4 linked regions of the Oreochromis niloticus genome follow. The protein of the gene in region 4 interacts with the protein of the main gene of each other region in a pairwise test. Links are inferred from orthologs where the notes say so. Each region holds a gene or a part of one and is shown on either strand. Other genes may lie near its edges.

What was found.
Region 1: the proteins of lnx2a (region 4) and lg8h10orf88 interact in binary tests that used the Homo sapiens proteins (3 or more experiments, as listed by UniProt). The link is inferred for Oreochromis niloticus from reciprocal best matches to the Homo sapiens genes LNX2 and C10orf88.
Region 2: the proteins of lnx2a (region 4) and phykpl interact in binary tests that used the Homo sapiens proteins (3 or more experiments, as listed by UniProt). The link is inferred for Oreochromis niloticus from reciprocal best matches to the Homo sapiens genes LNX2 and PHYKPL.
Region 3: the proteins of lnx2a (region 4) and mylipa interact in binary tests that used the Homo sapiens proteins (3 or more experiments, as listed by UniProt). The link is inferred for Oreochromis niloticus from reciprocal best matches to the Homo sapiens genes LNX2 and MYLIP.

Annotation. Positions count from the first base shown.
Region 1 is NC_031973.2:113,504-120,472, forward strand, and holds the start of lg8h10orf88 (ATPase PAAT), read left to right. Parts: upstream 1-3,968; 5' UTR 3,969-4,108; intron 4,109-5,312; 5' UTR 5,313-5,348; coding exon 5,349-5,497; intron 5,498-5,655; coding exon 5,656-5,853; intron 5,854-5,973; coding exon 5,974-6,043; intron 6,044-6,126; coding exon 6,127-6,318; intron 6,319-6,579; coding exon 6,580-6,708; intron 6,709-6,969. Other genes in the region: asb3 (ankyrin repeat and SOCS box protein 3), read right to left, coding at 1-27, 106-283, 434-566, 981-1,093, 1,197-1,367, 3,515-3,716. UniProt on the Homo sapiens protein: ATPase that regulates mitochondrial ABC transporters ABCB7, ABCB8/MITOSUR and ABCB10. Regulates mitochondrial ferric concentration and heme biosynthesis and plays a role in the maintenance of mitochondrial homeostasis and cell survival.
Region 2 is NC_031966.2:26,039,978-26,047,673, reverse strand, and holds the start of phykpl (5-phosphohydroxy-L-lysine phospho-lyase), read left to right. Parts: upstream 1-4,683; 5' UTR 4,684-4,814; coding exon 4,815-4,873; intron 4,874-4,968; coding exon 4,969-5,087; intron 5,088-5,218; coding exon 5,219-5,378; intron 5,379-5,458; coding exon 5,459-5,533; intron 5,534-5,618; coding exon 5,619-5,706; intron 5,707-5,798; coding exon 5,799-5,915; intron 5,916-6,035; coding exon 6,036-6,118; intron 6,119-6,207; coding exon 6,208-6,433; intron 6,434-6,689; coding exon 6,690-6,844; intron 6,845-7,260; coding exon 7,261-7,350; intron 7,351-7,474; coding exon 7,475-7,608; intron 7,609-7,696. Other genes in the region: protein FAM53C, read right to left, coding at 560-796, 1,071-1,897, 1,976-2,054, 2,149-2,232.
Region 3 is NC_031985.2:20,357,504-20,365,193, forward strand, and holds the start of mylipa (E3 ubiquitin-protein ligase MYLIP-A), read left to right. Parts: upstream 1-4,678; 5' UTR 4,679-4,831; coding exon 4,832-4,918; intron 4,919-6,068; coding exon 6,069-6,259; intron 6,260-7,690. Other genes in the region: dtnbp1b (dystrobrevin binding protein 1b), read right to left, coding at 730-1,652, 4,453-4,516. UniProt on the Homo sapiens protein: E3 ubiquitin-protein ligase that mediates ubiquitination and subsequent proteasomal degradation of myosin regulatory light chain (MRLC), LDLR, VLDLR and LRP8. Activity depends on E2 enzymes of the UBE2D family.
Region 4 is NC_031974.2:18,923,270-18,930,840, reverse strand, and holds the start of lnx2a (ligand of Numb protein X 2a), read left to right. Parts: upstream 1-4,561; 5' UTR 4,562-4,735; intron 4,736-5,786; 5' UTR 5,787-6,174; intron 6,175-6,961; 5' UTR 6,962-7,119; coding exon 7,120-7,523; intron 7,524-7,571.

The sequences.
Region 1 (6,969 bases), on a different chromosome or scaffold from region 4:
GTAACAGCTATGAGGCTTCTGAGGATGCTGGAGTGACAGAATATCAGAACGTCAAAAATACACAATCAGCCTTATTTTAAAAGAGGTTAAGTTATGAGTCAGTACCCGATGTGACCAAACTGGGCTGCAGCGTGAATGGCAAACTGGGGCCAATCGTGGCTGCAGACCATGTTAGGGTCAGCCCCGTGGTCCAACAGGAAGTCCACGCAGGCCTGGTGTCCCTCCTGAGAGGCGATGAACAGAGGTGTACTCAGATCAACTGCCTGCGTGTTCACGTTGGCACCTGAAGTGAAAGCAGGTTAAAAAATTAACTGTGTAATCTATTTTACTTAATTACTTCCTAAAGAAGAGGCCAAGAGGACTTGGAGCATGAGATCCTTTAACAAGGAGGGAAAAAAATGTACAGCTACCATTAAAAGTAAATCCTATTTACCGGCGTTAACGAGTATTTCCAGGCACCCCCTCTGTCCGTACTGTGCAGCCACAAATAACGGGGAAATCCTGTAATCATCTACTGCCTCCAGGTTGCATTTGTTAACAAGAATGCGCACGATCTCAGTGTGGCCCTTTGGGAGAAACATGATCTTAAATACAATCAGCAAACACACAAGGACCCCACAGCTAACGCTGGCAGCAGAGAGCAGGAACGTTTAAGCCCTACATTCTTCACAGTGAGCATCACATGAAATCGCTGCATCCCTGCATTCTGCTGAAATTTTATGTTCCAGTTTGCGCCTTTTCTGCAGGTGTTTAAAGGTAAAAAATGTGTTTATTAATAACTGAAATGTAATAAAAAGGTTAATACATCCACAAAGTCTCTCTCTCTCTGTGCCTTGCAGCCAGTCAGAAAACATAAGGGAAATAAGGGAAAATCCCCAACAGATGTGACCATGCTTTCCTGACCGAAACCAAAAAGTCATGATCTACTGTTAAATGAAAAATGTTTGTTTAAGAACGTGAGTGCTAATGCTAATGCCTACCTTATATGCAGCTTGGTGCAGGCAGGTCCAGCTGGACTCTGTGTGTATTCTGTTGACCTCAGCACCTTTGCTTACCAGCAGTTCTACAACATCTGTGTGCCCGTGGCTAACAGCTGGAAGCAAATTTTGGGACACTCATTTGGTTAGAGGAGCTTAAAGGGTTAGACAAGCAAAAACAGAAAAAAATTAAACATCAGTGAAGCGCAGTTGTAATACCTTCATAAAGAGGACAGGACAAGTCGTTAGTGAGCTGGTTGATATCAGCGTGTGCTTTGAGGAGCAGTCGGACCACTGACAGGTGTCCACGCTGCGCTGCCAGGTAACAGGCAGACTCCCCCTCATGCGTCAGATGGTTCACATAAACACGACTACAGCTGGAGGACCTTGCTGCACACAGGGGAAACCAAAGAGGAAGAACAAAATGCAAATGAGAGAAACCCACATTTAACTTTAAAACAGCTGCTGAAGTGACTGATTTATCCATTAATCATTCACATCCATCTGGAGTCTAGCAGAGAAGTAGAAGGAGTAGAAATACCCTCAGAGGTGGGAAGTAATGAAGTACAGATACTGTGCTTCTGTACTTTACTTTACTTTGAATTTTACCCTCTTCATTTTAACCAAACATCTCTACTTCTTACATTTTCTAACCAGGCTGATTTTTGTTAGGTTTACCATATGTGAGCTACTATTTCCTGTCTTTGGGTACTTTCCAGACATCGAACTAATCAGACCCCAAGCAGAAGGAACAATATCCATCACCGGGGCTCGCACATGAAGAGATCAAAGAGTAAAAAAAAATACAGTTTGCATCATTTATTTATTCAGTATACTCTGGGTTTTAATCAGGCTTAAATCAGGTTTGGGGAACTCCAGGCCTCGAGGGCCGGTGTCATGCAGGTTTTAGATATCACGTTGGATCAACACACCTGAATCACATGATTTGTTCATTACCAGGCCTCTGGAGAACTTCATGACATGTCGAGGAGGTCATTTAGCTATTTAAATCAGCTGTGTTGGATCAAGGACACATCTAAAACCTGCAGGACACCGGCCCTCGAGGCCTGGAGTTCCTCACTCCTGGCTTAAATGATATGGAATGCTATTTTTTTGGTGCAGATGCCCATAAGCTGCGGCTTGTGCTACAGAAGAGGAGGAGAGACTAACATTTTCTAATGGGCATTTTAAATGCAGTGTTTCTAAGAAATATCATCAAAGCCACCAACTGATTCATACACTGGATTCCACCTTTGCACTAGCTTTATGCTGTCAATGGGAAGGACATGTAATGGAAAATATTAGGATTCTGCTCTTTTCAGTGTCAAGCTGACCTGGCTCAATGAAAGGCTCCACAGTATCAGATTCTGCCTGTCAATACAAGTACAAGTACATCTTTTTCACAAAGAAGCATCCATGTAAATCAATAAAACGATAGCTCATGTAACATCAGCTCATATCCTGCTGGATAAATCCATAAAGAGGAGCAGGACAGGCTGGCTGATGACAGGCTGTGCACAAAATCTGTAAAATCCCACTTTAACCTTTCACTATAGTCATCTTACTGTTTGGGTTTCACGACAAAGTCACACATCTAAAGTGCAGTCAGCAGCAAAGAGCTTTTTAAATTCCCTTTCTTTTTTTGTTCAGCATATCAGGAGTTCAAGCTGAGTTAATTTATTAGAATTTGAATTTAAGTTGAAATAAAGTTTGTATAAATAATATTTTATTATAATATTAATATGGAAGGTGGAAGTTTGAGCACAAATCAGAGTGTGTACTTTTGTGTACTTTTTCACCTTTACTTGAGTAAAGAAGTACTTGTGTAACGTACTTGAGCAGTCACAAACTGTCGTCCACCTGAAATACCACATCGAGCAACAATGTGAAAGCACTTTGCTTTTCAAAACTTTGCCAGTTGTTGTTAAATGTTTGTTGAACTAAACATGCTGCTGTCTTAAAAATGCAAAATGAGCATGTATTTATGAAAAAGCAATAAAGAATCTCACTTTTCACTTTCTATCAAGTGAAAGCTGCCTTTACTGCTGTAATGGGCCCAGACCTATTGTGTTAATGTATGAGAACATCAGGAACATCAGGAGTGGCAGAAAAGTATGTGAGGCTGGTGCAAGACATGTTAGAGGACAGTGAGACAGTGGTAGAGGAGGGTAGGAGTGACAGATGGGTTGAAGGTGAGGGTGGGATAAGATCCGGGATTGGCTCTGAGCCCCTTCTTGTTTGGAGTGATGGGAACTGTTGGACACTAGGGTCTCTTCTAACTTTGCATCCAACGTTAGACAGGTAAGGCTGAGACCTTTCGGATATGTGCAGAGGAGGGACAGTGGCCAAAGGATGCCGAAGATGGAGGTGCCAGGCAGGAAGAAAAGAGGAAGACCTCAGAGGAGGTTCATGTGAAGGAGGACAAGAAGAGGGTTGGTGTGACAGAGGAGGATGCTGGGATAGGGTGAGACGAAGGAAGGCAGATGATCCGCCTGTGGAGAAGTAGTACTGGATATCTGTGCAGCAGCCTCTCTTACCTCTGACAGCTGACAGGATTTCCTGGACGCACGCTTTGCTGCCAGCTGCCGCCGCCTCGTGCAGGGGGGTCCAGCCTCGGTTGTCCCGACAGTCCACACTGCAGCCTCTCTGAATTAGCGTCCTCAGCCGCCTCCTGCACCCTGAGCGAGCAGCAGTGGCCACACTGGACACCGTGTCTCGGTAGCACTCAGTGAAGTCCATGCCCAGGTTCACAGAAACATTCGTTATTTTAACTTCAATAAGGATTAACAGTCAAAACACAACCTCAGAGTTACTCCGGATGATTTTACACGACCCGACGTACACATTTCAGTTGGATCCGGAAAAGTTTTTAATTAAAATAAAGAAATAAAGGTGTCTTTATTTACCAAATAGACATTAGGAACTGAACAACGGCATTCCGAGCGTCGCCTGTTGATGACGTCACACCACAACAACCCTACGATCCAGCGTCGCGTGTCAGCTGTAGCTTCAGCTAATCGTTTAGTCGTTAATTGTTGCTGAAATTTGCAGATTTTCAGGCATGTTTGGAGAAACGTGAAGAAGAAGAGACTGGAAGCTTCTTCTCAGCGGGTTCAGGAGGCGCTCTGAAGGTAAATGCGCTTTATTTCCCATCACAGCGAGACATTAACAGAGTTAATGCAGCTGTAGCAAAGAATCGGATGTGACCGTCAACATACAGCCGATAAGTACTGTGTGTACTCCTGACCTACACGTCATTCAGAGTAACATTTGTGCCTGTAATTTAAAACAAACTGTCAGAAATCAAACATATCACATATTCATCATTTAAATCTGAAATCTGGCCCTCCTGACTAACTGTGGACCAGGGAGACCAGCGGTCCCGCCTTATGTGGGACTGCACAGCATTTTTATTACTTAAAGTAGAAAGAGTTGTTAAAGCTAGTCTAGGTTAAGCAGAGACGTGATGATCGGTGAGCAGCAGTATGTTTTCATGCTGAGACAGAACTCTACAGATGTGATGTTTGAGAGTGCTGATGGAGAAATATAGAGAAGGTCATAAGGAGCTTCACTCTGTATTTATGGATCAGAGAAAGCAGAAAATAGTGTGTCAAGAGAGGAACTTTGGCACTCTGCCAGAGAACAGGGGTGAGGTGTGCTGTAAGAGAGACGGGTGGGCTGAAGGTGAGGGTGGGATTACACCAGTGATCTGCTCTGAGCTCCTTTGCAGTGGTGATGGACAGGCTGACAGATGAGGTCAGGCAGTAGTGTCCGTCGATTATGATGTTTGCAGACGACACTGTGATCCACAGTTAGACGAGGGAGCTGGAAGAAGCGAGAAAGAATACATGCGTGAATGAGAGGGAGACAGGTGGAAGAGGCTGAGTGAGTGGATGAGTTTAAACACCTAGGGTCAACCATACAAGCAACGGACAGTGCACAAGAAGAAGATGGAGACAAAAAGACAACACGAGCAAAACATGTTAAGATTTTCACTGGAAGTGACAAAGATGGACAAGATTGGAAATGAGTACATCAGAGGGAAGCTCAGGCTGAGTGGTTTGGAGACAGAGAGAGTGAAGCTGGGATGGTTTGGATGTGTGCAGAGGAAGGATAGTGGATATATTGGAGCTGCAGCTCCAGTATATCCACTATCTCATTACCTTTGGACTATCGTAATTCCATCTCCCGTCTCCAGTTCGTTCATAATTCAGCTCCCAATGACATAAGCACATGACTCTTATTGTTTCTGTCTTACAGTGGCTTTAATCAGTCTTTAATCTTGTCTTGTATCTGTAACCTGTTCTCTTCATTGTTTCCAATTTTGTTTCCTAGCTCGTTGGCTCAAAGGTTACAGCAAGCCGCAGCATTATGGTGGACATCTCTGTGAAAAGTGAAGCTGCTTGGGTCTGTCACTCTCAGGGGCGTCACCTGGCTGACGTCGTTCTTCCTGTTCACATCAATAACACGGCCAAAGAAGAAGATGAAGTCAGTGAGTTGGACAGAGAAGAAACTCACTGGTAAGAGACTTTTAGCTGATATTAAGAAGCAGTTAGTGCTATAATTAATAGGCAGTTGCAATTAATCTTTGTCTATTCGCACAGAAGGCAAAGATGAGAAGTGGATTTTCCTTTTATTTATGTGAATGGTACATTTCCCACTTATCTGCCACACACAGTGGTGATCCAGTGCTGCTAGAGCAGATGGAGGAAGGGTCTCCTTGTGTCCTGAAGTTCCACTGCAACCCCAGCTTACCTGCCACCATCAGCCGCCTGCTCGTTATAAGTGAGGCTCGAACCATGGAGGTGTACAGCCAGACTGGAGAGTACTGTGGGACTGTACGGGGATCGAAGGACAACAGCATCCAGCTAGACAGGTACACAGGCTGCACAGGTCAGAAGAGCCAATGAACAAAGGTCTTCGGTCTTCTGATAAAGAAGCTGCTGATTGTCTGATGTTAAGAAGTGATGCTTCTTCTTTTGTTTGTGGATCACAGCGCTGACAGAGGGCCTTTCTATAAGAAGCAGCTGATCATTGAGGAGCCATCCTCTGCCTGTGAAGTGAAGGTAAAACAGAACATTTTAATTTATGCTGTTTATTACGCAGTCGTGGTTGTATGAGAGTCTAACGAGCTGCTTCTCTCTCCCAGTTACTCTCCCTGGCAGGTAGGAGCAGTGTTATGGTGGCTAAAGTCATCGTGAGTCTTCAGCTGCTGCAGTCCTGCCCAGCCCCAAACCCGGGCATAGACATGCAGCGAGTGCAGTGTCTGATGGAGGAGATGGGAACAAGCCTGTCGCCAGGAGCTCAGAATCTCATGGAAATGGTGCAGTTCCAGCAGAAGGTAAATTAGCTCAGAGATGCTCTCTCTGACATTTAAAATGTGGGCGTTTCCTGCTGACCAGTAATATTTCTGATAAAGTGCAGAGGAGAGTATGTCTTATGGATTTGAGTTTCTGTGTACCTCGTCAGGCCTCTGTCTAAGATGTTATTGTTACTGGAACTGGAACGGCTTCTCTGAGTGTCCAAAGCATAAGAACTAACCGGACATAAAGAATGAAACAGCAAGCTGGACTGAAGCATGTGTTGGTGTTTGTCTCTCCAGAATCAGACCGGCTCTCTGGCTGGTTTCCTGCCTCTCCTGATGGGCAGTGGAGCTTTCTCTGGTTTGGGGAGAGAAGTCAGCATGTGTCCAGGAGCTGGCAATATTCTGCCTCGACCTGCAGAATTTAAGGTACACGACCCATTTGTGCTGTTCTTTGTTCTTAGATTAGACCATTAAAAAACTCGGCCCACACCAGTTTGGTGGAGAAGAAAGGAGTGAAGTGATTTTGTGAGTGTGAACAGAGCCTGAAGCAGAAAGCCTGGATTAACTAAGAAAGTTCAGAAAAACTAAACTGGCTGGAGTCTGAGGTTTGGTCTGGAGTGTCTGCCAGAACTTTAATCCATTAATGCTCCCTGTTTGATGAACTCAAAGGAAGACCTTGGACCACTT
Region 2 (7,696 bases), on a different chromosome or scaffold from region 4:
AGCTCTCATTTAAATCAGTCAGCCGAATACAAAAGTAGTCTGCTCGAGTATCAGAAGCAGCACTGAACAACAATCGGTCTCATTCAGTTACTGGCATTTAGTGTGTGTCATATAATAGAAACATTCTGTCAACCCCTGGCTATAAAGTTCTTTGATAAGGATATGTAAGGCTATCAAGATGCAAACCAATGGCTTTTGCTAATTAAGACTCGTCTTAATATCAAATATTAGTCAAAAATGTGTGCGCATTAAATCTTGCTTGTTCGCTCATGCACATTTCCTTAAGGAGTGCTTCTACAGGCCGGCACTGACAAAATTTGTGCAATTTTGAATAGTGAGCGAGCTCAAGTGTTATGATCGCAGCAATGTCATTGGATATTAGCCTCCCACATGGGGTCATTGGATCTTACTTTTAAAGTCTAGACATTTGTATAGAGAGGGCAGCAGGTTTCCACCAACTGCCAGAAGAGCATGTTATATTAAAAAAAAAAAAAAAGCCTGCAGGTGTGCTTAACATGGTTATGAATGCAGTTATCACACTGAGAGCACCAAGGAGCGATCAGTTTTCTTCTATAAGGTTCAGATCCAATTCTGTACAGTCTCTTTCAAAAACAATCTTTTGTCCTCCATCTGCAGGCCTCCTTTCGTCTTCCTCTTCCTCGCTTTCACTGAGCGGCCCGATGCTGGCTCGTCCCAGGAACTCTGCCGGAGAGAAAGCTGAACGTCGTTCCACCTGCGAGGTCACTGGAACCAAACCGCTACCTGGTCCACATGCAGGGCTCTCACGATTACCAATCTGAGCAGGAAAAACCATGTGCATCGTGGTCATCATGTCACTATTTTTATAGGCAAAAAAAATAAATATCTTGCATCCTTGCATCAAATAATAAGTGAACAAGATAAAGTGGTAAAACATAAGTGATGAGAGAAAAGCAAAAAAAAAAAAGGTCATATAAGGTCTCAAAGAAAAGGCTACATTTAAGGAAAGTAGTGAACTTGATTGCTCACCAATACTATTAGCCTTGGTCACAGAGCTACTGTAACACTGATGGACCACATTCCTTGCTCACCTGTGTCATCTTGCTGAAGTCGAGGACTGGCCTCGGGTAGGGCAGAACATCTGGGTCATGGCGCCTCTTTAAGCGAGGTTTGCGCATGTCACAGGGCTGCGAGTGGCATCGTGGCAAAGCAGGGTGGAGGTCACGCCTAGATGAGGATGGTGTGCTGCAGGCTGAAGTGGGAGATGGAGACAGGGCTGGGTGCTCCAAGTCAGAACGGCCACATTTCAGAGCTGAACTTGGACAGGGTTGGGGGGGCAAGGGCACCATAGGGGACTTCTGAATGTGTACAGGGGAGAGGGAGAAGCGACGCTGCAGCACATAGTGTGAGGTCAGCGGGGCCGGCGAAGAAGAGCACGAAGAAGGTGTAGCAAAGGAAGCAGAACACGCTCCTTTCAGTGTATCGCAGGGGTCCCATGGGAAACCCCATGATACCGGGGAGTCAGACGATAGCGCTAAGCTAAAGAAGGTAGGACTAGCAGATGAGTGTATGGAGGAAGAGGGGAAGGAGGAACTAGGACCACAAAGTGGCAAAGAGCTGGCTCCAGAGCCTGAACTAGATGCTCCTCCACTGTGACAGCTACGTTTCACCGGGGTCCAAACCCTTGATGCGCTGGGATGCCAGGTGGTGCGGCACTGAGATAGATCCTCTGGCACAGAGAGGGACCGGCAGTGGCGTTTTGGAGGTGGTGGAGGTGAACTTTGGAAAACCTTGAAGGGACGTTCTGGTCCCCGGAGTGATTCTCCAGAGTGAGAAGTAGGCCATAGTGAATCAAGTCCACAGGAGTCATCCAGAACACTGGCAATAGATGATGGATGTGTAGTTGAGGTGTAGCTCTCTGAAAATGCCAAAAAGATAAACATGAGGCAAATTTCCGCACTTGCCACAAATGTTGCTCTTAATTCACTAAACTTGCCTTGTGTCGTTTTATGAGCACTCCACGAGACAGTGGGACTGGAGCCCACTGTAGGTAATGACTGTAACAAACAGAATGACTTGTTTTCAAAACCACAAGTGGGAAAACCAAGTCAATGAAACAAAATCAGTTTGAAGGACAAGACTTTGTTCCATCTAAACCATCCAACTCACCACATTCACACTGAATGAGAAGGCCTTGTGATAGGGTTCTTCTAAACTCTGCTTACGAAGTTGCTCTGTTATAAGAGTCACCATATTTGTAGCTATGATCCAGGGAGAGACATGGAGATGAGGAGATTTACCGAGGGCAGTGAAAGTGTCATTAGTCAGAATTCTGGCGTGGTTTGTGGCGTCCCCTCTACACCTCAACCAGCCAGACTGACCAGCTTCCTCACTATGCCACCATCATCTTTATGCAACCTAGAGAGGCAGGTGAGAATAGATGAAAACAAATTAAATAAGTGGTTAGACAAACTGCAGAGAAATCACACTGGGACAGAAGGTACTTTCTCATGGGGAGTTTTCTTCCCATTATAAACTATAAGTGTTTGGGAAAGCCCATAGCAAGAGGAACAGAAAAGCTGCACACCAAACACTGACCACAGAACTATGCGAACCAAGGTAGGATTTATATGCTGCTCTTTCACTCATGCAGAAGCAGAGTTTATGCTCATGAAGGCGAGAATCACACATGGACATGAGGTCACCCTGAACAAAGCAGCACGTCACATTTCAAATTAAGTTCATATTGTCGTTCCAAATGGGACTCCAAAGAAATTTTTATTTCAAAGGAGATGCAGAGTACAACTCAAGTGAAAACTTTTGCTGCAATACAAAGACAGTCAAGTCAGTAGGGTCCAATAAACTTAAATGACAAGAGTTGTGAGTAGTAAAGAATGGAAGGGGGAGGGAAAGGCTAAAAGGGAAAGGATGGAGGGGGAAGTGTGTGAAAAATGAATGGGACAGGGGCTGGAAGCATACCATAGTATCTTTGTAAAGGGGACAAAAGAATAGTAACCAGGTCTCAAGGACTTGAGACATACACAGTCCTGAACTACTCTACTTGTAATCAAAAACTTTAAAATGCATTAGTTACTGAATGCACAAACACCTGAGAAGATTAACCTGCAGTAACCCATGTATGGAATCCCAGGAAGTCTATTACTCAGTGCTGTACATCTCAAATTGAAAGTAACAGACAGAATGACCGCTGCATTAAAATGTAACATGACCCATTAGCCTTTGGACTTCTGTTTAAAAGAATGTGTAGAGCACATGTAGGGTGAAAAAACCCCTAAAAAAACAAAACAAAAAAACAACCAAATATTAATCTAGCAACTTTGAGGCCCTTTGATGGCATTTATATTCCAGCTCACTTAAGAGCCTTTCGTTCAATCACTGTTGAGTCAAGATGTGGCCTCCAGGGCCTTCCTCCTCCTTGTGGCAAACAGTGCATTTGCTAGCCTAGTTCCACATGTCACAAGACATGCTATTTAAGGGGCACAAGATCAAGCTTTTTCCACTGTCATGTCCTGAACACAATCAAGAGCTGTCAAGTAACTAGTATAAAACTTTAGCATCACTTTTCAGTGTGACTAGCAAACATCCATTTGATCAGCATAAGAAAAAAACTATAGGATGTTGTCAAAATGACAAGAAACCTCTAGCACAGCCACCTTGATAAAATAGCTTTGACTTAAGGATAATGTATCTAAAAAACAAAACTAAAAAATACAAAAAACATGCAAAACAAGCGAGTTTAACACAGTGTTGCGCAGCTTATCTCGACTCAAAAACCACGTTTCTGCCCATCAGCTAAAATTCATGAACTGCAATCCAGCTGTTGTTCGTTACAATGTAACACATTAAAATAATGCTAAACTTACAGGATCGATCGGATTCCGATTATAGCCGGTGAGCAAGGTGGTATGTGGTAAGCTAGCTCACGAACACGATGCAGCCAGTGAAGCACCAAGTTGTCAGCTAGCTCATAGGATAAATGCACTAAAATTACTAGCGTCAGTTTATTACAATCGATCTGATTGCGACCGGTTAGAGGCTTGTCATTCCAGTCGGTTATAGCTACGTTTTGTTAAAGCCAGTGTTAAAATATGCGTTCATAAATTTAACGCTAACCCAATAGTCTATGCCTAAATCAGTTGTGGCGTTAGCTTGGTCACGCAGCCTGGTTGCGAGCTAGCATGCTACAGCTGTCTTGATGTATTACCTGCATTTGGCCGTTCCTAAGCAACCAAAGCTGCGCAGCTAGTGCACCGGGTGGCGAGCAGATTAACTGAGTATTTATAGCTTTTGGACGATACCAACTGAGAGGGTGTCTTTGTCACATGCTTTTACAACTATGGATTCAAAAGATACTTAAATGAGGTTTAGACACACAAAAAATGTATAAGGTTTACTTTTGTTTTTCGAAATTAAACTAAACTAACAGCAAAACACATTGCAATTATTTTTACGACCTTCTGTCATTTTGACCGTCCCACACTGACACCGTTCTGGATAAAACGAGAGCGTAATTGCAAATCTTCCTGACTAACAATAAAGGCAAAGGTATTTTATAATATAGGTCGAATAATAAGATATTTATTAAATGTAGATACCCTACCTTATCTGTGACAGAGAAAAAGAAAAGTTAAAACTACAAAGTGTTTGAACTTAGTGGGAAGTGAACTCAGCTCTGCCACCGACGCATGCGTGTTGGGTCAGTTAGCGAAAGCGTTTTCTGTTTTTCACAAGTTTCTAGTCGATAGCCGTCATAGTTTATGACATTTTCTGTATTTGGTATACGTGAAATTAAAATAGAGAGAGATTAAGTGGTCATGGCGCAAGAAAAACTTCGGAAAGAAGAAACTCTTGCAATGAGGAATAGGCTAATCGGGTATGTAAGATGAAACTTGGTGTTTTCTTGGCGCTTGCTAACAGGCTTATAGTGCATATAGTGCTAATGACACGTACTCATTTCTTTGATTACAGCCAGTCATGTAGACTGTTTTATTCAGAAGACCCAGTGAAAATAGTAAGAGCACGAGGACAGTATTTATTTGACGAAAATGGCAAACGCTATTTGGACTGTATCAGTAACGTCCAACATGGTAAAACCATTATCATCCACTCTCAAGTCTTTTTCTAACCAATTAAAAAATACAGTACAATACACTTCTGCCACCTAGTGGCAGGACGTTTCGACGCCCTTACTGACATGTTGTATGTATGTTTTCTAAAGTGGGTCATTGTCACCCCGCTATCACAAAGGCGGCAGCGGCTCAAATGGACGTCCTGAACACAAATTCAAGATTCCTGCATGACAACATAGTCCTGTATGCTGACCGCCTGGCTGCTACCCTGCCCCAGAAACTGTGTGTCTTCTACTTTGTCAACTCTGGGTGAGTATTCTGTTGCACACGCTCATACTCCTAAAGAAAACATTCTCTAAAGTACAGTTACATCTATTTTTTCCTGATAGTTCAGAGGCCAACGATCTTGCCCTACGCTTGGCACGTCAGTACACCCAACATGAAGATGTCGTAGTTCTTGACCAGTAAGTATTTTTGCTCCACTGCAGCCCTCTGAACCCTGCAATTACACTTGCTTTTCAGTTACAATGAGCTCTCCTTCTACACTAGCGCATACCATGGGCATCTAATGTCTCTCATCGACATTAGCCCTTACAAGTTCCGGAAACTGGCGGGACAGAAAGAATGGGTTCATGTGGTGTGTAAATTTAGAAACCTATCATCACAAAAACTGCTACCCAACACTGGAATCCTGCTTATCTCAAAGAACATGTTCTTTCATCCTCCCAGGCACCTCTACCAGACACCTACAGAGGTATATACAGAGAAGATCACCCCGACCCAGGCCAAGCATATGCTGACACAGTAAAAGACCTTATAGAGGATGTGCACAAAAAAGGCCGTAAGGTACACTATAACCCAGTTCCATGCAGGCTCAATAAAATCTCTACTACACACACTCAGAACAGTGCTAATAATAAGAACATTACATTTATAGTACATATTTATTATCTTTTTTTTCTTTAGATCTCAGCCTTCTTTGCTGAATCCCTGCCTAGTGTCGGTGGACAAATAATCTTACCCCAAGAATACTTTCCTAAAGTTGCAGAGTAAGTAATTCTTCAGTTATCTGGTTGTTTTTGCTCAGCTGGTTGCACAACAATGACAGTGTGGTGCCTCCTCCTCATGTTTTCCACAGATATGTGCGCTCAGCTGGTGGCGTGTTTGTGGCAGATGAAGTGCAGACAGGTTTTGGGCGTGTGGGACATCATTTCTGGGCTTTTCAGCTTCAGGGAGACGATTTCTGCCCAGATATAGTGACCATGGGCAAACCGATGGGCAATGGGCATCCCCTGGCATGCGTAGCAACCACTGCAGAGATAGCTGGAGCTTTTACAGCCAACGGAGTGGAGTACTTCAATACGGTGACTATACAGGAACCTTAATGTAGCATAAATTATTGCCCGATCTCTAGACACAACCAGGTATTTGATAATACGTAATAGCTATTTTGCCATTTAACCATTAATATTAAAATGACATTAAGAGAGAAATAAGAGTTTTTTGAAGATAAACTGAAAACGTACATTTCACTCACAGTTCCTGTGTTACTTTTAAATATAATGCTTTTATGCATATTCTCAAGATAAATCACTTATTTTACTCTCCAACTTCATGCAGTTCGGCGGGACTCCAGTGTCATGTGCAATTGGCCTAGCAGTCCTTGATGTGATTGTGGAGGAAGACTTAAGAGGAAATGCTGTGAGGGTCGGAGCCCACCTTAAAGATTTGCTCACAAAACTAAAAGCACGACATGAAATAATTGGAGATGTCAGGTAAGGATGCTACATCAGCGGTATTCTGCAGTTCGTAGCACTTAAAAAAACACTAATTAAGCTGCCATATAATGAAGTTCAGTGCCTATACTAATTAAAGCTTGCCTACAGACATGTCCATGTTTACAGTGCCTCGTTGACGTCTCACTTTTATTTGCAACTCTGGTGTTTAAAGCTTACTTAATTTAGATGTCTAATTATTCAAATGTATAAAAATTGTCCTATTATACATATATTTGGTAGTTTACCCTTTTTACAGTATAAAAAGCAACATATAAATGACAAAAATGTTGGATTTTCACACACAGACTGCAAATCGCTGTCCTGGTACCTGAATACTTAAAACGTAAATGTATATGACAAGTATGCTAACTCTTTCATAATTCCAATAAAAGGCCATGTCTTTATTTCTGTAGAGGTGTTGGACTATTTTTGGGAATTGAGCTGGTGACTGACAGAGAGAAGAAGACTCCTGCCACAGAAGCTGCAGCGCATGTGGTCAAGAGGTGAGGGACTGCAGTGCAACATACAAGTTTTTACATTTCATATTTTTTTTTAAACAGCATACTACCCAGGGCTGTGCATTCAGAATGTGCTGTTCTGTGATTGGAGTTTGTCCTTTTAAATCAGGCTGAAGGAGGAGGATCAAATATGTGTCAGTACTGACGGCCCATGGGAGAATGTCTTGAAGTTTAAGCCTCCCATGTGCTTCGGCATGGAGAATGCAGAGCTGGTAGTGCAATGTATTGATCGCATCCTTACAGGTTAGCTTACCGTTATAAACAAGGTTACATGCATGCTATCTACTCAGTCCATGAAAAACCTCAACACCAAAATATAACCATTTCATTT
Region 3 (7,690 bases), on a different chromosome or scaffold from region 4:
CTAGCAAAGAGCATCTAATAAAGAGGCCAGTGAGTGGACACAAAATGATATGTTTGACTCCTTGCTTGGATTCACCCAGTATTCCTCCCTAATGTGATGTTTGTAAATGGTAGTACAATACAGTACAAATCACAACAAATCTAAGTGGGATTACTATAACCTACAGGCACAGAGTGTCCATTAAAATTGCTTTTGGGTTCACATTGTAGTAGTTTTACACAATAATTTCACTTTTTGAATCTAAACTTTTCATTTATTTTATGTATTTATTTTCAAATTTAAGCATGGTATGACAGTCTGTGGTTTTACTGTTTTCTCACTACTCATAAAAACAAACTCCAGGTTGCAAAAAAAGGCTTTTATTCATAAACACATGATATATTGGATTAAATCTCCCTTTCCTCCCATGCATGGAACCAGCCATGTGTATAATATTTTCTCAGACACCCAGAAAGGCAAAAAATAAACACTGACACTAACTGTGCAGCGCTGCGTTTCTGAAAATAGCATTTCTAATTAGTTAGCCACAGTGACTGCATTTGAATCAGCACAGTTTATATCAGCAGGCGGCGGTTTACACAGTCTTCATGCAAAAACAATCTCACTGATTATTCACTGAAATCTGGGCCATTTCTAATCAGCAGTCACACTAACTAAGATTTGAATATAATTAACCTACATGGTGCATGGTATGAAGTCCACCACATCAAAGACAACCAAACCTCTAATTTAAGAGGTCAGTCTATTAGCTGTTAGGCTTCGAGAGAGCCACACTCCCTCTGCCAGTTCCTTAGTTCTCTCTGACAACTTCCATTCTGCCCGGTAGCGTAAATCATCCCTCTCTTCTCCTGAATCAACAAGCTCAATCCTCAGGAACATTTCTTTCTCCAACATCATCGAAGCCAGCACAGAGTCTGCAGCTTGTCTGTTTCTTGGTAATCTGGGAGAGGACCGAGACACCCCTCGACGAGTGGGAGGGCCACCTTTAACCCCTCTGCTTCTGACATCGTCTTCCTTTTGCTTCACCAAAGACACATCTCTGCCATCTGAGGCAGATGTACTAGAAGAACTCTCATTGGTTGATTCTGAGGTGAGAGATGACTGTGTGTCCTCCAATTGGTCAAGATCCACTTGGTAGGCTAATTTCTTATTACTTTGTCTGCTGATGGACAGACAAGGAGGCCACCGGAGGGAGAGACATTTTGTCACCGCCAGCCATAATTCTTGAGGCCTGAATAAACCTGACCTTGGCTGATCTGTGTCACAAAAACTGTTTCTTTCCTCCATTTCTGCATGTTCTCCTTCAGAATCCGACTCCACCACCTCTCTGACGGAAACTCTGTTCGAGTTCTTTGGTGACTGTTCCTCTTCTTCACCTTCATTTTTTGACGCTACCTCCTGATCCTCCCCAAAGCTGAAAGAACTGCTGAACCTCTGGCTCCTCTTCATTGCTCTTTCTGCCTCCACATCAGACTCCGACGATGAATCTCCCTCTGACGAGCGTCCACACGGTGACGACCGATCCTTTGAGTCTTTCGACCATGGCCGATGATTCTCTTCAGACTCAGAGGAGCTGATCGCCCTCTGGCCTCTCCTCATACTTTGGTAAACAATTCCTCTCCTCCAGCTGCCCAGTACTACTCTTCCTTTGGCTTAACAGCGACAGATTGACAGAAAAAGAAGCGAAGTAGTAACAGCTATCACAACAACAACAGCAGCCGCAGCAGCTCTGCTAGCATGGCACATTCTGACATAATATCTGCTTCAACAGGCACAGCTATGCCAGTGGAGCTGGGCAGTGATGACGTTGTGATGTCATGTGCCCACATGCACACATACACACACTCTTGCACAAATCCCCTGCATGCATGCTTCAGTCGAGTGAGATGTGACTTGCCTCAAAGGGAAGTGATGTCACATTGCATGATGTCATACCTAGCCTCGAACCAGGAGTCTACAAATGGTCTGTGTTTGTGCAAGAGCGCAGATGGTGGAAGGAAAAAAAAAAATAGATGCCCTACCCTTGAAATTGACCTAGATGTGCAACATGGTAGTCGTGATAATGATTTTCCTTTCTATGCTTTATTCTTTGTGCTACAGTTGCGATGACATGCGTCGAAAATAGTTTGTCTATTTTTGTCACAGGCTACCAAAATATACATTAACTAATTGGGTAAATAAAGCATAAAATACTTAAAGTGAAAAATAAAAGAATGAATAAAATCACTGAGTTGCTCCAGATGTTTTTGCGTTTGCCATAAATATTGGTTCATTCGTCTAATTGTGTTTGTGTGCATGTGTTTACTTTATTTTGGGGTGCTGTAGGACAAAGAGAGAATTTTTGAAAGCGTAAACCAATAACAGCAACAGCAGCTGTGCTTCTGCTGGAGCTCTGTGTGTTGTAGCAGTAGTAGAGTATGTGTTTGGCAGTCTGCTCAGTGAGTCCCAGACTAACAGCGAATGGTAGGTCACTGGCTATATGCTTGCTTTTCCATTTATGGTCCGGGTGGCTGCTCAGACGTCACGTCTCTCTGCTCATTCACTGCACACTTTCTTGCATCACCTCGGGGCAAAAGGACATTGCCTACTCCAAGCTGGCTGACATTCTCACACACAGAAAGACACACATACATGTTACATCAGATAAAATCTGTTGAGTCGACGTTTGAATATAGGCAGCGATGTGTCGTTGAAGGGAAGAGAAATTGATAATGCCTGAAATGAGAATAATAACATTTCTCATACTGATTTTATCTGATGTGATCAAAAATAAAAACCTAGTATTTCTAGTCTGGACTACTGTGATTCATTATTATTGGATCGCTCTAAAAGCTCCCAGAAAAGACTTCAGTTGATCCACAATCCTGCAGCTAGAGTACTGACAGGGATTAGAAAAAGAGCACATATTTCTTCCATATTGGCTTCTTCTGATAAATCCCTGTTAAATTTAAAATTCAATTTAATATCTTTCTCCCAAAATCGTGAATAATCAGGCCATGTCATATCTTAAAGACCTCTTAGTACCTATCCTAACAGAGCACTTTGTTGTCAGACTTGTGGATTACTTGTGTTTCCTAGGGTATTTAAAAGTAGAATGGGACCCAGAGCCTTCAGCTTTCAGGCCCCTCTTCTGTGGAACCAGCTCCCAGTTTGGATTTGGGAAAGAAACACACCCTCTACTTTTAAGATTAAACTGTTAAAAAACTTTATTTTTTGATAAAGTTTATAGTCAGGGCTGGATCAGGTGACCCATTAATCCTCTCTACTGCGTAAAGTCTAGGCTGAAGGGGTCTTCCCATGATGCACTAAGTGTTTCTTCTTCACTCACCTCTTTTCACTCTCTATGTGTTTACACACCTCTCTGCATTTAATCATTAGTTACTATTAATCTCTGACCCTCTTCCACAGCGTGTCTTTTGTCCCATCATCCTCTCCTCACTCCCTGTCGCAACAGATGGTTGCCATTCCCTGAGCCTGGCTCTGCCTGAGGTTTCTCCTCGTTAAAAGGGAGTTTTTCCTTCCCACTGTCGCATACCTGTTTACTCTGTTTGTGTTTTTGGAGCGCGAATAAAAATTTATGGTGCTACCCAGATTGGCAAAATCTATCCGGAACCCGAGTTTGGGTGAAATCACTTTCCTCGTGTCGCAAGGATTTTCATGGTTTAAATAAATGAAACCTGGATCCTCAGGTAAGATTTAAATGTGATAAATCGGAAGCTAGTACAGACAAAAACACGGCTGCCAGGAAATTACTTCATTTGAAGAAAAGTGTCAGTGCTTTTTGGCATTCAAAAAGTGATCCAAATAAAAGGGCCACGGAACACATTATACATCTTTAAATGTGCAGTATGTAAAGCTGAATCTTATTTTCACATCCCTTCCAAGTAAGTGCTTTAATACAATATCTGAATGATGAAGTGAGTGTTTTTAGGACTCAGCGAGGCAGTAATGCAGTGGCCAGGGAGTAGAAAAACATAGAGAGGCACACTGCATCTACTCTAAAATGTCCGCTGGCAGACAAACTCAGAGCTTGGCTGAATACTATGCCTCCATAGTTTAAGTGTGGCTGCAGCTTTCTGCAGTGTCTTATCTGGCATCACTACACACTGATGCTGAATAATATATCATGAAATAGCAAGATGTGAAGAAATGATGAGGTAGAGCAGGCTGAATTATTAAGTCTCTCTTAGCCGTTTTATCTTGACCTTTCCCCCACCTTGACACACTATAATCAAACAGTTTCACGTTCTCCAACACTCAAACGCAGCAGCGTTATGGAAAAGTTGAAGTTGCTAATATATATTAAAAAAAAATCACAAAAAGCTTTGGATGGAAAACAGCAAACCAGCGAAGCTGAATGCGCTCCAGTTATGGGAGTTATTTCTGGACTGCTTCCACATACATTATTCACACGAAACGAAGGGTTGACGGTACACAAGCCATTAAACTCACCCGGAGATCCGCACGAGCTCGCTGAAACATCACAGCCACGAGGACAAGGTGAGTTCAGGTGCATGCAACAGGCGAGCCAGGTGAGGGCGCAGTGGACTCCTCGCAGTTCAAGGCACGGGAGGCGAGCTCGAGCCCGAGCGGTGTGCGGATGATACGCCACTTCTCATTGGCTCAGAGTGTCAAATAGGCGGTGCTGTGCGCGGCGTTTCATTGATATACCCTACAGCTGGTGGCCGCGAACACCAAACGGAGTGAAAGGGCTAAGAAAGTGATGACGGCTTGATGTAGAGGGGTTGTTGTTTTTTAAGCGAAGGCTCGAGAGTTGGTTGATTGTTTTAAAGAGTGGCACACCAAAGATTTCCAGAAACAAACAGCCAAAATGCTCTGCCACGTTACTCGTCCGGATTCGGTGGTGATGGAAGTGGAAGTTGATGCGAAGGCGAACGGTGAAGATTGCCTCAACAAGGTAAAGACGGACAGCACGTTTTATTCTTCTTTGTGTCTTCATGTGAGAATAACACGTCGCCGTATGTGCGTCGGTGAGGCAGCACGGCTCGGGTTGTCAGAAAAATATTTTCTTATGTTTCTGTCAACTTCACCTCTAATGTGTCGCATTCATTTATGAGTCGACTAAATGTGGTGAATAAGACCGAAGAGCCAAGTTTCTGCACGATTAGAAGATTTTATTTGTTTTTATTTCTTTAATTAATTAATTCGCCACAGCTTCAGTGAGCTTCAGCTTTAAGCTACAACAAAACTGTCACCTGCTTTGTTGCTTGTAGCAAACAAGGACTGAGGAAACAATGTTCTGAGCGCCAAGTGCAGAAAAAAGGTCAACTTTTTCTTCTTTCGTGTTTTTCTTTTCTTTCTTTCTTTCTTTTTTAAATAATACAAACCCTCTAAAGTGTCACTTCTGTCAAAAAGCCACGGGGCTGAAACACGTAGAGAAAAGTTTTGTTAGGTTGCTGGGAAGCTGCCGACTGCCACTTCAGGCTCCTTCGCTTAGTCAGAGGCAGATGGCTTTGTGCAGGTTACTCCAGGTCATCCTGCCGCCTCTCAAGATGAAACTTAGCTTTTCACATCTCTACCCACCACCACCCCCAACTCAACATGGACACAGTAGTAACTGTTATTTCCTTTGATTGCCATTTCCCCTCCTCATTATGATGTTAATCTATTTAATATGCACAGAACGAGTTTTATCTCAGCCTCCTGGCTCCCTGTGCAGACTTTCAGCAGCAGTTATGTAATAAACCCATGGTTGCTGCCGCCGGAGGAGCGTGGGATTGCGGGCTTGATGAGCCCCTGTACCCCGGGAGGGGCTCCAAGTTCACTTCGTGAGCTTCAGAATATTGATGGGGGTTTGTGTGTCGGAGTATCTGCAGTAACAGCAGTACTGGTGAATTTCCTTGTAAAAATAATAATAAAAAAAAAGTCCAGTGGGACTTTACTCAGTTGGTTCTCGTCACTTTCCACATGACAAGAAAAGTTATTGATTGCCTCTTTAAAGGAGCTCTTCACCAGCTGTCGCTGTCCTGTGGTGAAAAGCTTCACGTCTCACTTCGTGTGTGTGTTTTTTGTGACACCCCCCCCCTGCTTGTTTCGTCTTTCTTCAGGTTTGCAGAAAGTTGGGCATAATCGAAGTAGACTACTTTGGGCTGCAGTTCACAGGCAGCAAAGGAGAAAACCTGTGGCTGAATCTGAGGAACCGCATCAGCCAGCAGATGGATAATTTGACACCCTGTCGGCTCAGGCTGCGGGTCAAGTTCTTCGTGGAGCCCCATCTGATTCTGCAGGAGCAGACGAGGTACTTTGAAAGCTCGCACGCTGTAAAGACACCGTGCGCAAGGAAATTTGCTCATAGGCCTTAGAACAGCTATAACTGTGAACTACTTCCTCTTATTGTTTTGAGTGTGTAAATGTGTTCGTCATCTCCTCTAAAACGGGTCAAAGAAATAACATCTTATTTTTTTTTTCATGTACATGACTTTAATGAGGCGCACGTGTTTGGGGAAACAAAACAAAGCCACCATTGGCGAGTTCCCAGAGCATAATCTGATCACTGTTTCCAACAAAGCGAAAATGCCCTATAGTAACCTCTTCCCCAAGCCCTTCCGGGGTTACTATAGGTCATTCTGGTGAAGCGCCAGGGAGGAAATATGATCCAGCAGCTCTGGTGCTGTGTGCTGCTCTGAGCCTACCCCCAGGGACCCTCTGTGTGACAGCCAGGACCTCTCGTCACTGCTCCCATTCAACTCTAAATATCTTTTTGTTTCGATTGTCCATGGCCGTTTTTTGCGTGAACAAAAGCCCTCCCGTTTTCTGTTTTTTCTGCAGATGCAGTTTGGGGGAAAAGCTTGTGTAAGGAGTGCTTTCCCTTGCGAGAATATGCCGTCAATTAGAAACACGGTTGCAGCTGAAGTTTTGGATAACTGTTGTTCACTTTCTGTGCTTTATTGGTCATTAGACAATGGCAAGCAAAGCTGCTGCTACAGTGAGTTGACATGTAGTTTTAACATGTGCCCTTCTCTGCCAAACTAGTTTAAAAAAACAAGTAACGATCCCAGGCATGTCTGAATGGGTAGTCCCCTGCCCACAGACTGTGAAGTTATAAATGGAAAGTGAATTTTCAGCCCTTGAAACGAGTCCCAAAAACTTGTTTTGAACACTAGTGTGATGGAGTCGATGTTATGTTCACCCTGGGCGACGTGATGAGTGTTTGATACCACGGATATGAATCAAGGAAGCACTTGAACTGCAGCATTCCACTAGAACTATTTATTAAGCTAAACTGTCCCTGTTGTTCCCTGGTTCGCCTACTGCTCCGACTCTCTCTTCCTTCTCCCTTCACCCTGCTCTATCCAATGTAAAAAGAGGGCAATTCTACGGTTTCTTTATTTGCTGCTGTTGGGTGATTAAACTGTGCCCACTCCCATTTCCTCTCTGTCTGGCTCTTCTCCCTCCACCTTCATATTCCACTCCACTGTAGCCCATATTTGGCAACCTTTTGAAGAGGAAAGTGAAAGGACAGTCAGGGGGGCTAAGGGCACGGAGGACACTTGGCTGCCTGCGCTCTGACCTCCAGTAGATTAGCAGGAGTTATCAGCAGATGGCTGGTGTTTGCTCAAGACTTTGGGGGGGGGGGGTGAAAAGAAGTGAGATAAAGATTTTAAATTGCAGGTAAGGTCAGGTGGGTCGCTGCTAATAAATACTCGCACATGTCACACTCCACCACGCT
Region 4 (7,571 bases):
TAAAAAGTAGCAAGAATAACTACACAATGCATTTATACAAGATCAAACATTCCAACATTTTCCAGGACATCATGGTGTTTTTACACATTACCAAACTGGTTATATATTACCCTAGATTAGTTAGAGAACCCTATTAACGCCCTTAAAGCATGAACTCAGTGCAGAGAAAAGACAATAACAAAGCAAACATTTTTAAAACTGTATTTTTGCTAACAAGAAATTAATTTTCTCACATGCTGGTTACACAATACCAAACATTTAACTACAGGCAAATTAATGGAAATAAATCCCCAACATAAAGCATTTTAGTAAGAAGATCTAGTGACTGTGAAAGCCATGAAGTAAAATTTACATTCATATTTAAACCACTTAGTTCCCTGAGGATGACTCCTGGAAGAGACGACTACCATCGGGATAGAACTTTTTCAGCACAGGAGAAAGGCCATCGTTTAAAATCTTCATATTGACTTTCAATGAGGGGACAAACCATGCTAGGAGACTGCTCTCTGCCACACAGGCGCTCATCCACCAGTCGAGAATACGACCACTCGCTCTCAAATGTGCACTGCTCATTGTAATGAGGGATGAATGCAGTGCAGCTCTATTGTAATTGTTTTACAGTAGGGCGGTTCTTGGTGACAGTCTGATTACATCCTGCACTGACATCCTCATTCATCTGAGAAGGAGTTGCTCTTTACTTTTACTGGGTGCACTGATGCACGACCATCACTTTTATCAAATGTGTGCAGTCGACCACAGCTTCCAACCCCGTTTTACTGACGCCTTTCCCATTGATCTAAATCGCTCAGAGCAGCATGGGACCGTAAATCTAAACACATTCAATGAAAAATCAATCAGTGCCTTCCATCTGTCCTCCTATCAGTATCAGATATTCTTTTTTTAGTACAATAACTTTATTGTATGTAATGAATCCATGCTTCCTCTTACAAAATGAGGTACATGTCCTCTGAATACACTCTTTTATAGTCTACAGTATTTCTCCAGCATTTTTTAATACTCATAACTTAGGAGGTGAAAAACAAATTGGAGCTTTGTTAAAAGCAGCAACCAAATCAATGTAACGCCCACTGCAAGTGTCAGGATCTAAAGTAAAGTTTTAAATGGGATATATTGGAGTTTTGGTCATTCACTGAAAAAAAAAAAAAAAAAAAAAAGCATTTGGGTCAATTTTAAAGGGTCACCATGTCAGATTGGAGGCAGGTCAAAACAAGATATATCATTTACCTACATTTTTACACTGGGGTCACCTTCTTCTTTGCAATCTAAATCATTTTTTAACACAGTCATGATTTAATACTACTTTCGCTCTCATAGATTTTAAATTTGTGCAGTTTTGCTATTAAAGCTAGGATCTAGCCCATAATACTGATGCTCAAAGTTTGCTCAGGGGCTATAGAAAAAAACATTACACTGCCTCTACTATGAACATCCTGTCTAAGATCATTAAGGACAGCGTAATGGGTATCTGTGTCTATTTTAACTTTCACTTCAAGTTAAAATAAGTTTGTATTTGATGCATCTTAATTGTATGCACTGCTCAGGGAGATGCTCCAAATTTCATTGTGCACCTATACAGAGACAAATACATGCATTCTATTCTCTTCTATTCTAGGATGTGACATTTTGAGCACGTGTAAAGTTCATATGGTTGCACTTTTTAGCGGAGTATAAATGAAATTAAAGGTTCATTTTAAGTAGATATATTTTGTAGAAGAAGTTATGAGGGTTTGAGATGCTAGAAGAAATAAGCCAAATTAAAAAGTGCCAAAATCTGACCCACTCATGCCCTCTTCAAGGGACTGCAACATTGAAAATGGTCATTCTGAAGGTAAAATTTTGGCTTTATTAATCACACTAAAAATATATATGTGTGTGTGTGTGTGTGTGTGTGTGTGTGTGTGTGTGTGTGTGTGCGCGTGTGTGTATTTTGTTGTTTTAGTATGGAATGATTCTGCTCTCACTTTACTCACTGCTCCTGCTGAAACACCAGGAGTTGTGTGACTGTCACATAGATACTTTTTCCCCATTATCCCATTACTTAGATCATAATCTGAATTAGCAGGACCTGCCTAGGATTTTCCTACATGCTATGGATGCCAATTACTTAACTGTACCATGTACTGCACCTTCGACCTTCAGTCATTTTTATTTGTCACCACTCTTATCCCTGTTCTACACTGGATTCAAATTTGAGGTGGGTTGATCAATCCAAATATAGTATCAATAGTATTGATACCAACACTGCTTTTGGTATCAGATCCATACTAGTGCAATAGGAACGATACTTTGTTTCTATCCTCTAAGTTCAGTATCTAGCCCAAGGAATTGCTTTAAATCATTTTTAGTGAAAAATATACTTCAGGTATGCACTATGAAAAAATTACAGGAATCTTTTTTTGTGTTAACCTCCACATCAATTTTATTTATAGCTTATAGCACATTATAAGCTAGAGAATTTAACCTAACGTGCTGCACATTTAGACTGCAAGTCTCCAAAAAAGCCATTTTCACAGAAAGCTAAAAGATGCGTTTTTATGTGTTAACTAATTATAGTGAAAAGTAACAATGACAGCGATTTAATGCTCATTAAATCTGTTGCAAATGAATGACGATTTATTAATTTTCTTTTACAATTTACAATTATCGGTATCGGCAATATTGGCCGTCTATGTACCTGGTATCAGATCGATACCAAAAATCTACAGTATCGCACACTACTGCAGCCATTTTCATTTAGTTCAAGTGCAATGCACACATTATGTGGGGTTCAACTACCAAGCCTTCTTACTAAAGCAGATAAGTAAGAGTCAGACAGATGGCATATCAGACACGGTGCTCACCATCCTGCAGGGCCCATGGTCTCTGCTCTCACGCGGGCTCTGTCAGTCTCCCTGAGGAGCTCCTCCACTGCACGCCTAGATGGATAAATAAAGAGAAAAAACGTCAAACACTGTTCACATGCAGGGGAGGAGAAATGGGGAGAAGCCGAGGACAAAGATGGCGCAAATCCTCAAGGGGGAGCCAAGGGGAGAATAATCTAATTAAGTGAGAGAAAACAGAGTGATGCGGAAGAGAAAGTGAATCATCAGGAGCAAAAGGGGAACAGTGTCCTGGTTTGACCCGAGCTGCTGAATCGGCACAATCCCAGCAGAGGAGACCCGCTGATCTACTTTTATAAAGGACAGGCAGCTGATGGTGTGTGCCACCACGAAGGCAGGCTTTCCATACAATCACAAGCTCGTCTAACAACACAATAAATGAGGCTCTTTTTTACCGACGGAGCGCTGTTACGGATTTAGAGGAAACCTGCGTTCAACAGTGCGCAAATACCGAGTGAGGACAAATATTAACACAGCTACATACTTCTCCAGCTCATTATCTTCTGCCATCGCGATCACACGCAAGCTTAATTGCGCTAAAATCGATGGATGATCGTTAATTAACCCAACATCGCTTGTTTACCTCCTCGCGAGGTCCTCCGACCGAGGACCCCGAGGATTTTTGCTGCCCTGAATAATGCCAGATCATTTTTAACTTCACCGTCCACCCTTTTCTGTTTTCTGCCATTTCCCAAATAACTTTCGTGGACAGTAACCGACTAAAACGTTATAATAAAAAAAAAGAAATCCTGATATTTAGGTCTGGGCTCTGTTTATCACACAGTTAACAAAATGTACCCGTTTAGTAAAACGAAAGCGATGCCGCAGTGGTTGTTTTTAATTCCCCATTTTTACCGTAAACTGGTATAAAGCTGCTGTGTTCATCAAAAATATTAGCTTAACTTAAGAAGTTGGCAGTGGTTTTGTCGTCATTATTTCTGACCATAGAACGACCTAAATTCTGGTGAGGTTTGTTTATTTTATTGCTCTGCTTGGTGAATGTTATACGTCAGTGGAAAGGTTTTTGTGCTAATTAACTATTAACATCTCTCAAAACTTGTTGAGAAAGGGAGACATTCTCATCTTTAAAAGCGGCATTTATCCAAAACTGAAAGCTGTAATATTAAGTTTCACTTATTATTTAAAATAAAACTAAGTCATGTTAATAAGTTTTAATCTCACGCCCCCTTTAAACCTTTATAACAGTAGCCTACAATGTAACCAGTAATCTTCAAAAAGAATAACTTACAGTATGTATGCATTTATTTATTTACGTTTTTGTTTGTTCCCTGTATTTATTTATTTATTTATTTATGTATATGTATTTACTTATGTATTTTGCATGTATGTATGTATGTATGTATGTATGTATGTATGTTTATATATTTATTTATTTAGTTATACGTGTTTATTCGTGTATCGATTTACCTATGTTTGTCTGCGTTACAAATATATCTGTTTATTTTGATGTGTTTGCTGACTTATTAGAATTTTTATGCATAAATATATTTAAACGCATTTTGTTTTATTATTTATTTTTATATTATATTATTTACTTATTTATTTGTCTATTTGGTTGTTAATTATTTATTTACGAAAAGGCGGTCTTAAAGCCACCCCCTAGCTCTCCTCTGGATTGACAACCGTATGCCCCGCCCACTCGGTTTTGACGGACAGCAGTGGGCGGGGTCAGCGCTGCCAAAGGCACGGGGGCGTTTTCGTGCGGGTTTTGCGGAACGGTCCGTTGCGGTGGATGCGTGATTGAGGTCCCGCGGCTAATAATCACCCCCCTTTTTGGGGCCGGAGTGCACGGCGCGGAGGAGCCGCCGGAAAAGGTAACGTCACATCACATCTGCCCGCGCGAGCGGTGTCAGTGTGTGGCTGGCTTTGCTTTCTATGCTGCTGTCGCCTCATCGGTCCCAGGTTTTTCCGCTTGTGGGGAGGGTGGGATGGAGTCAGACAGATGGGGGGCAATGATTAAAAAGAATTTCTGGTATATGCAAGACTGTCGGGCTTGCGTATTTGATCATGACACTGCAGTGGGAGCGCTCCCAAGGTAGATCAGGTCTATGCCAGAAAAAAATAATTGTAAATTTAAATTAAATCAGTGTCTTTTTTTTTGTTTTTTTTTTTTGTTATCTTTGTGTGTCTGGGTGGTGTGGAGGGGGGTGGTTTAAGAAAAAAAGGCAGCCTATTGCAACAGACCTTGCAGAACAGCAGCAGCAGCAGGCCTGTTCCTGCAAGTGGCTACCAGAGCCTTTTTTTAAGATAAGAGAGATGGGGTTTTATGAAAATGTAGGCTAAGCCGAGAGGACCTGAGATTTTAAATCTGTGGCCTAAAACATCATTTCATCTTCTTTGAAAATGTAATTCCTGCACACTGGACTGCCATGTCCTGTAAGATTAGATTGTCATTTCGAACAATAAGCAGAGAGACAAGAGTGTTATTTACTGAAATGGAAAGCAGTGCAATGACAATAACAGCCTGGCCTTGGACTCTCATACACACACGTACATACACACTGTGTGGTGGGATTAAAAGAGATATTCTACAAGCATTTGCCAGTCTTCATATTGTTTGTATAAAAGAATCTGTTGCAACAGCTCTGTTTAAAACACATTTAAGTGCTTTTCACTGCTCTGAAGTGCCGTCACAGTGAAAACACGAAGACTTTACTTATTGATAAAGACCATTCACAGGTACCTAAAAACGCTCTTGTGCTTGATGTGCGTGTTTGCTTTTGGTTGTGTAGACTTACGCTCGCATGTCTACGAGTGTGTGTGTGTACGTGTGTTTGTTTGTGTGTGTGTGTGTGATGTGGTGATGTCACATCTTTGTTATAGAAACAGAGAAGCCTTGTGTCCTCATGATTAATTCATGTCCAGCTGCGGGATAGAGACAGAAGCAGCCAGTCACACGCAGACAGGAGGAGCACGTACTTAAAGGAGGCTGAAATAAGTAACTACCGGTGGGGTGGCCAAGGAGACAGGAGGGACAGGTTGTCACAAGGAAGGAAAAAAAAAAGACCCAGACGAGATGAAAAAAGCAGAAAAAAACGACTCAAGGGGACTCTCATCATCATCGTCTGCGCTGTCTGACAAGCTTTCAGGCTGTACCGAGGAGGAGGAGAGCATCCTGCTGAGAGGAGTGCATCTGTTGTGTGGCTCCTCTGCATCCTTCTCTGGCTACACTCTGAATGTCAAGCCCCACTGAGCAGAACGGGATCCAGGTCGTCATGGAGACAGGAGCAGACCCTCGCTGGAACAGAGGCAGGTAGTCACTGTATCTTGGCTGGGCCCGCTGAGCGTAGAGGCACGCCCTCTGCTGTCGGCTGATAGCATCTGGCCCCTCGGAGGCTGGGCTAATAGAAGGGCCGAGGGGGTCTGAGGGGCTTTGGATGTGAAACGCTGTGGAAATGATCAGCGCACACTGCGGTGCATTAGCTCTGGGGACACGCTCTGCTCACTGGAGTGCTATATTTCAAGACTTTGCTTTGGGCGTGTTCTCTTTCCGTTGTAGAGGAGACTGAGTTCATCTACTGTACCCAGCCTGAACCAAAAATATCAAGCGTTTTCCTTGGCTTCCCCCTCCTTCCCTCCATCCTCTCTTCCATTTCATGTTCTTATTCTTCCCTTGTACCTGTTTTCACATCCCATTGATCTCTTCTTCTTTTTCTTATTCCACCTGTCTACGCTCCCTTCCATATCTTGTCGGCACCACTTTCCTTTTCTGCTGCTTTCCCAAGCTCACTTTCTCTGATCTGTGCCCTCTCTCTGCCTCAATCCCAGATAATTCCCTCTTTGTGGAATTGGAAGATTGGAGCAGGCGAGAGCAAAAGAGAGATTATACTACCAGATTAGTGGACAGAAGCAGCAATACATAATCTCAGCTGTGACATAAATGGGCACACACACACACTCGGTGTCACCCTCGGTCTCATGCAAACACGTGGGCACACGTGCACAAAGCATTTGCCACATGAATAAATGCCCAACACTTGTTGTCTTGTTTTTTTCTGAAACAGCTGTTTAACTCTCTTGTTTTGGCCTCTGACCCACAGGGTGATGTGCCATCAGCCACTGGGGGGCATCTGTCCTCTCCGCCACCTGTTCAGCCTCTGAAGCTTATGGGATAGGAGTGTGTGCGCCCCTTCCCAACCGCTCTGCATCCCAGCTGGACTCAGTCGTGCCAAAGCTGAATTGTGTTGAAGGAGAAGACATGGGCAGCCCGGGCTCCGAGGTGGGTCTGGCTGGGTCCATGGAGCCAGCTCTGGAGGCTCTGTGTCCCGAGTGTGGCCAGATCCACCGCAGCTGGGAAAACCACCTTTACAACTACCGTCTGGAAGTGGACGACGATCTGGTGTGCCACATCTGCCTGCAACCGCTGGTGCAGCCTCTCGATACGCCATGCGGACACACCTTCTGCGCCCGCTGCCTGCGTAGCTTCCTCCAGGAGAGGGACTTCTGCCCTCTGGACAGGACGCGGCTGCAGCTGCAGGCATGTCGCAGGTCCAGCATCCTGGTGCACAAGCTGCTGGACAAGCTGTCTGTGTCCTGCCCTTTGACCCCTGTCTGCTCCCTCAGCATGCCTCGCTGTGACCTGGAGGCGCACCTTAAACACAGGTAATAAAGCTTGTATGCAGATGGATGAATGCATGAGATCATTATGAC